Daphnia pulex: one gene and its partner. The protein of the gene in region 1 binds, or shares a complex with, the protein of each later gene. Links are inferred from orthologs where the notes say so. Each region holds a gene or a part of one and is shown in the gene's direction. Other genes may lie near its edges.

What was found.
Region 2: pre-mRNA-splicing factor SPF27-like (region 1) and beta-catenin-like protein 1 share a complex: the UniProt entries of both Homo sapiens proteins name them as parts of the PRP19-CDC5L splicing complex. The link is inferred for Daphnia pulex from reciprocal best matches to the Homo sapiens genes BCAS2 and CTNNBL1.

The regions. Positions count from the first base shown.
Region 1 is NC_060018.1:4,114,108-4,117,037, reverse strand, and holds pre-mRNA-splicing factor SPF27-like, read left to right. Parts: upstream 1-1,157; 5' UTR 1,158-1,218; intron 1,219-1,288; 5' UTR 1,289-1,340; coding exon 1,341-1,445; intron 1,446-1,636; coding exon 1,637-1,729; intron 1,730-1,797; coding exon 1,798-1,970; intron 1,971-2,035; coding exon 2,036-2,146; intron 2,147-2,207; coding exon 2,208-2,373; 3' UTR 2,374-2,430; downstream 2,431-2,930. Other genes in the region: uncharacterized protein LOC124189006, read right to left, coding at 1-93, 301-478, 1,402-1,433, 2,662-2,740, 2,805-2,907. UniProt on the Homo sapiens protein: Required for pre-mRNA splicing as component of the activated spliceosome. Component of the PRP19-CDC5L complex that forms an integral part of the spliceosome and is required for activating pre-mRNA splicing.
Region 2 is NC_060022.1:2,351,930-2,355,913, reverse strand, and holds beta-catenin-like protein 1, read left to right. Parts: upstream 1-1,184; 5' UTR 1,185-1,322; coding exon 1,323-1,352; intron 1,353-1,524; coding exon 1,525-1,829; intron 1,830-1,895; coding exon 1,896-2,227; intron 2,228-2,301; coding exon 2,302-2,525; intron 2,526-2,601; coding exon 2,602-2,750; intron 2,751-2,840; coding exon 2,841-3,022; intron 3,023-3,100; coding exon 3,101-3,460; intron 3,461-3,537; coding exon 3,538-3,626; 3' UTR 3,627-3,671; downstream 3,672-3,984. UniProt on the Homo sapiens protein: Component of the PRP19-CDC5L complex that forms an integral part of the spliceosome and is required for activating pre-mRNA splicing.

The DNA.
Region 1 (2,930 bases):
CCTGACCGGAGCGATGGGTACCACCTCCTCGGACACGGGGAATACGAGCCACAGCACGACCAGTACCCCATGATTCAGCACTTGTCTGATGACCTGTAATAGGAAAGAAGAAGATTAACAATCACACCATTACATGTGTGTATGAAGTTTGTCCGGTTGCCCAACCCCTCACTTTAAGAAAACAAAGCGAGAAAGGCCTCAGGGACTCGCTTTAGTGTTGCACACTGCACAAGAAGAGTCTGACGTACAATTACTCCTACATTTCAATGCTGTGTGCCATATAATTGGCATACAAGTTACCTGCTTTCTCGCTGACACAATAAGGGTGACGACGATTCATTGACATTTGTTGTTGAACAAAGCTGACAATGTCTGGCCTAATGGGAGCCCTGAAGATTGCAGGGAGCTGGATGCTGGTTCCAGAGGCCTCAGCCTTCTCATTGTAAACGGTAATCAACGGCCTCGCGACCACCTTACTCTGTAAAACAAAATGGATAAACAAATTAGATTTAAGATTTTCAAGAGACAACACTTGAATTTACACAAACTTTGAACTAGATGTACCAATTAACCAAAACATAACAATAAACCAAGAACGACGTTGAATTAACATAGAAAAACAGCAAGAGCCCATTTGACACGAGGACGAAACCACGCTGTGGGTAACATTTTACTCCCAAACTTTCGCCATAGATTAACAAGAAAATGGCTTAGAAAAATATACGCACGCAAGAATTTTCTTAAAACACGTTTCTCCCGTTAACCTTTTTACTTACTATTCGTAAATTAATGTATGTAAAAACTAGTAAAATGTTTGGAGAACCTCATGCTTACCATCTTGGTAGATAGTCCTGACCGGGTAAAAAGGCGAATGAAAGAGACCCACAGTAATGGCGACAAAGAGGAAGTCTACAATGTTGCCGGCATACTTTGAGAATTGCCGCCCTCTACGTTCCGTTTTTTACTTGATTATTTACTTGAAAAATTACAGATTATTCACTGAACTGATCCACTGTTTAATAACAAAAATTATGGAGTTTCAATTGATGATTTCAAACATTTTAATGGAGTGATTAGTTATAAAATTTTTAATATTGTTTTATTTGTTTCACAATGCAACGGTGTCCAAAATATTATTGAATAAAATTTAATATACCAATTTATTTTCATATTTTATTCATTTAAAGGAAGTTAATGATCTTTATTCATTATCAAAAAGTAAGTTTATGAATAATTAGACATAATGAAAATCAATTACTAAAACTGTGGCTCATATTTATTAATCCAGCAGAAAATCTGACAATCTTGCTGACAACAGACAGTTTGACACAAATCACAAAATGCCGATTCCGTCAACAAACATTTCCACGCCGAACGAAAGGATTTTGGTTGACGATTTACCATACGTTGACCAAGAATATGGAGATCCAACTCTACGAGAAGCGGTAAGCAAAACTTATACATTGCAAACTTTGAAATATTTGAATCGCTTCGAATTGAGGCTTGGAGATTCTTGTGTTAGCCTAGTCATCTCTAACATCAATACATTATTGTACTAGACCATAGTACTGTATGTTGCTGAGAACTCTCGCTCTTGTCCAATAGTTGTTTAATGAGAGTAATTTCTTTCTATCAGGCACTTGCATTGGTTGATGAAGAGACACGAAGATATAGACCAACCAAAAACTACCTAGAACATCTTCCTCCACTTGAGCTGTCAGCATTTGAAGTAAGAACTGTCTGCATGGAAGTAATGATAGGAGTGTGTAATAATTATGGAAATTATCATGTTCATAGACTCCTTTGATGAAGACTGAATTTGAGCGACTGTCTCAAAAGAAACCAATGGATGTTTTGAGCATGAAACGATATGAACTCCCACCCCCATCTGCTGGTCGTCTAAATGATCTTCAAGCATGGATAGAGTGTGTTGATAATTCAATGGCTCAATTAGAACATCAAACAACAAGGTTTGTTTTCTAAAAAAAAATTTTACAGCAACCATAAATTTAAAAAAATTTCAATTAAAAAACAGGATTTTGAACTTGGAATTAATGTCAGAGTATGGTTGTGAATCATGGAGAATTTATAACACTGTATTGTCCCAGATGATCCAACAATCTCAGAAGCATCTTCAGGAATTTAAGTATGATTTCAGTAAAGTAGACACCATATTGCAAAATACACTATTATATTTTTCTTTACAGGAAACAAATCCAAGATGTCAATTGGGCTAGAAAAAAAGATCAGACAGAGGTTGGAGACAAAATGAAACATTTGGAAGCCACTTGGTTTGGTTTGATCACTAAAAACTACGAAATCGAACTCGCGTGTGCTGAAATTGAGAGACAGTTAGCTTCACTTAATGAATGAAATTCAATGTAAACCTACTTTATCGAATTCGGATAATACACTGCAACAGGAAATTGATTCATCCGAGATTTTCAGTAAGTGACAACCAAAAAGATTTGGTTGTAAGGGAACAAAACAAAAAAATAGTATAAAGTCATGCACTTTCAGATTAGCTTGTCTTATAAATGGTAAGTAGCACGTTCTGATTTTATATATCACACAATTGAAAACGAGAAGAAGCGTATGAGTACAGCAAAGCGTAATTCAGAGAAGGGTAAAAAAAAGGGTAAGATCATAGGGAAGTCTCACTTGGGGCTGAACTTAAAGGTAAAGGGCGGACGGAAGACTCATCTTCCAGCACCATAACTCGTTGCTTTAGGACGCGAACCTGATAATCACATGACATTTTTATGTCGGTCACACTTGATAACTCGTAATTTTTCTCTATATACCTGCATTGCATGTCTTTCCGACATGTTGACCATTTGCTGCTCTAGTCTTTTTAATCGAGATTGGTACTTTTTCTTAGTCCTCTCAAGAAGTTGGACCAACGTCCTGAAAATTAGTTTACGGATATT
Region 2 (3,984 bases), on another chromosome or scaffold:
TTTATAAAAACTTTCTTAAAAATTTCTCTAATTGAAAACGAGGGTTAACCGAGGGAATATTTTAAGAACGAGTGCCAGTGTGGCGACCAAGGACCCTCTTTCGTCATAAAATTTTTCTAGTTGCACTTTGCTTTAAGTGTTTGAAGTTGAAATATTTTTGAATTGGACTTTTTACCTATAGACAAAGTTGTGAGGTACAAAACAGGGCCTGAACTGCAGCCGTTCTACAAATGAGCAACCACTTTTTCAAACCCTGACCGAGTAAACAAAAACGGCAAGAGAAAACCGTTCCGGTCAACCGCATAGCTCAGGAATAATCGTACTCAAAAATTTATAATCAACGCCAAGTAACAGTCAAAAAGGAAGAATTTAGATAAATGTTTTTCTACCTTAAAGCCTTTAAGTCCACGTTCACATGGGTGTAAAGAGGACATTCCAAGAAAGGGGAAGAAATTCGGTCGACATCGGTGATAGTCTCTCCAATCAAACGGGATGCTATAAATCCTATCTAAATAAAAATCAAATATGAAATATGAGTTACGAAAAATATTTACAGAAACAATTAGTGATAAATAGAAAACAAGACAGCAGATGAATCCTATTTATTAATGGACAAGAGAATGTAAGAATTCCCTGTAACACTCTGCAAGTGATGGCTATTTAAAACATCTAACAGGTTAATAAAAGTAACGAAAATCATTACCTGAGTGATGATACTAAGATTGTTGCTGATGACACTGTGAATACTGGCACAAGCAAAACTTGCATATGTTGTGGTTTGATGGTTGGCTCTGGCCTCAAATCTGCACAAAGATGAGAATGTTACATAGTGCTCACAAACACACATGCAATAGCAACACTTATCATGTAAGCCCCTTATTACATGATACATGCTAGTCAGTCATTCTATTTGAATTTATGGGGTTTTTTTACCTGCTAAAGCAGCATGTGTATGTGCATTAAGCGATTCTATAAAGACACGCGACCGGCGACCAGAGTTGACACGGCAATCACATTTTTGTTTTTAATTTTTAGTGCTATTTTTCGTGCAGCAACGTAACGTTTCCCCCCAAAAATCTTTGTCTCTTTTTCTTTTTCGAAACTTTCAAACAAAACGAAAGCAGACAACACTAATCATAAAATCGACCCATCGAGTTTCATTACTTATGGCCAGATGGCGTTTTTATTCTGATATTCCTAACGGTAGATGACTCTATTTTCATGTTTGACACATCGTGTTTTTTAAAAAGTTGAAAGTTCCAAAAGATCTCTTCAAATTTTGTTTATGCTGGTTCATTATTTAATTTAATCGAATATCTGCAATGGATGTCGGTGAACTTTTATCTTTTAAGGTGTGTAAATCAGTTTGTATTAACACTTCTTTAGCTATAAGTCCATTAAGGGGAAACAGAAGCATTGGATGTTATGGGATTGCATGGAGCATATATTGCAATGGCATTTGTTGGATTATTTTGAAAGCTTTCATTTGTTTTATTATGATTAATCACTACTTTCTTGTTACAGCCAAAACAAAACCCCAAACGAGATGTTGCAGATGATGATAAAGAGCCAGAGTTTGAACGTCCCGGAAAGAAACTTAAACAGTTTCCAACCAGTAATGTAAAGCCAAACCCAAGATCAACAGCCACATATATTGCTCCCCCAGTTGTTGAAACTCCAGAAAAAGAAGAATTGCTCAAATTGGTAGAGCAAGATGAAGGTTCTGAAAGCCTTGATGAAGCCTCCCTAAAGAGAATGATTCTAAATTTTGAAAAGCGGGTTCTGAAAAATCAAGAACTACGTGTTAAATTTCCAGATGCGCCAGAGAAGTATGATTCCTATCCTCTGCTTGTTTTGTCATCATTCTTCATAATAGTTTTTATTTTATCTTTTAGGTTTATGGAATCAGAATTGGAATTGCATGAAGCAATTCAACTGATGCATGCACTTGCAACAGCTCCTGAACTATACACAGTAGGTGTTGAACAAAAGCTTATACCAACATTGCTAGGTCTATTGTCACATGACAATGCAGACATTTCTGTCGCTGTGGTCAATTTGCTTCAAGAATTGACTGACATTGATACTCTGAATGAAAGTCAAGATGAAGCTGCAATTCTAATTGATGCACTCCTGGACCAGCAAATCTGTGCCCTCCTAGTCCACAACCTGGAAAGACTAAACGAAGCTCAAACAGAAGAATCTGACGGAGTTCACAATACACTAGGTATAGACGATCATTTATGTTTCTATAATTCATAAGTACCCAGTTTTTGTTCACAAAATAATTTGTTCTTTCAGCCATTGTGGAAAACTTAACGGAAATTAGGCCTGAAGTGTGTCAACAAGCAGCCCAACAGGGGTTGCTGAGTTGGATAATGAAGCGGCTAAGAGCTAAATTACCATTCGACGCCAACAAACTATATTGCAGTGAAATATTGTCCATTTTGCTTCAAGGCACACCAGAAAATCGGCAACTTCTGGGTGAAATTGACGGAATTGATATTTTGCTTCAACAGTTAGCCGTAAGAAAACGTTTTTCTTCATTCATTTTTCATTTGTGTAAAAGTGCAAGTCATTTTTTTAATTATTTTCTCGCAGATTTTCAAGCGGCAAGATCCCAAAACAGGAGAAGAACAAGAAATGATGGAGAATTTGTTCGATTGTGTTTGTTCCAGTCTGATTCACGTTCCCAACCGCGACAGATTTCTGAAGGGAGAGGGCTTGCAACTTATGAACCTCATGTTGCGGTATTGTTGAAATTCCCACGATCCGGCTTGCTACCATTCATATTGTTGATCTTGAAGCCTGACCCGTTTTTTTCCCCACTTTCTTTACAGAGAGAAAAAAATGTCCAGAAATGGCGCGTTAAAGGTTTTGAATCACGCACTTAGTGGTGAGGCCGGTAAAGATAATTGCACCAAATTTGTGGACATCCTCGGCTTAAGGACTATTTTTCCGCTATTCATGAAAACGCCGCATAAACTGAAGAGAAAGGGGATGTCAGCAGAAGAGTATGAAGGTAAATATAAAATATAGTGCAAATACTGATGTGCATCACAAATTTATAAAACGTGACCCGTGTAAATCGTTTTTTTAGAACATATAGTCTCGGTGATTGCAAGTATGCTAAAGTCGTGCCGAGGATCACAGCGCACCAGACTTCTGACGAAGTTTACAGAAAACGACCACGAAAAAACCGATCGACTGATGGAGTTGCACTTCAAATACTTCGACAAATTACGCGTGATTGACGCTCAACTCCAGCGGAACGACGACGAAGAGGACGAGGACGAAATGTACCTTAAACGTCTGGAAGGTGGATTGTTCACGCTTCAGCTGGTGGACTACATTATGATGGAAGTTTGCGCCTCAGGAGCCGCAACCATCAAGCAGCGCGTTTTGCATACGCTCAATTTGAGAGGAGGCACAGTCAAGACAATTCGTGAAATAATGAGAGGTAAATATTTTCGCTTTTCGTCCAATCGTAAAGCCCTTGTCCAAGTTAAACTAATATTTATTTGGTCCTTCGCGCAGAGTACGCAGGAAATCTTGGCGATGGCAGTGAAAGCGAAGCGAAAGAAGAAGAGAAACAACACATCCTTCAGCTCTTGGACAAGTTTTAAGATCACTCAGCAGTCGTAACTACAATACAAATTTTCCAATCGAGACTTTTTGTATCGAGCAAGTTGCAACATTCTTTCGAAGCAGACACGCATACCTCCGTTTGATCTTCTATTTCGAGAAATGAGGGGTCGTGGTTATACGTACGTTTTATAGACGCACTTTCCAGGATTTGCCATAAAGAGACTGAGACTAAACGCAGACTAATAGCCCTTTTTCCTTGATGGGGGTCGTTCCAGTTAATATGACTTTCGACAGTTATTCCTCCGAAAACTGAGCTTCTCAATTACTGTGCAACCAGCATACATTTTTTTATGTTTTACAATGTTCTCTAAAACTTCGGCCAGGTGCATGGGCCGA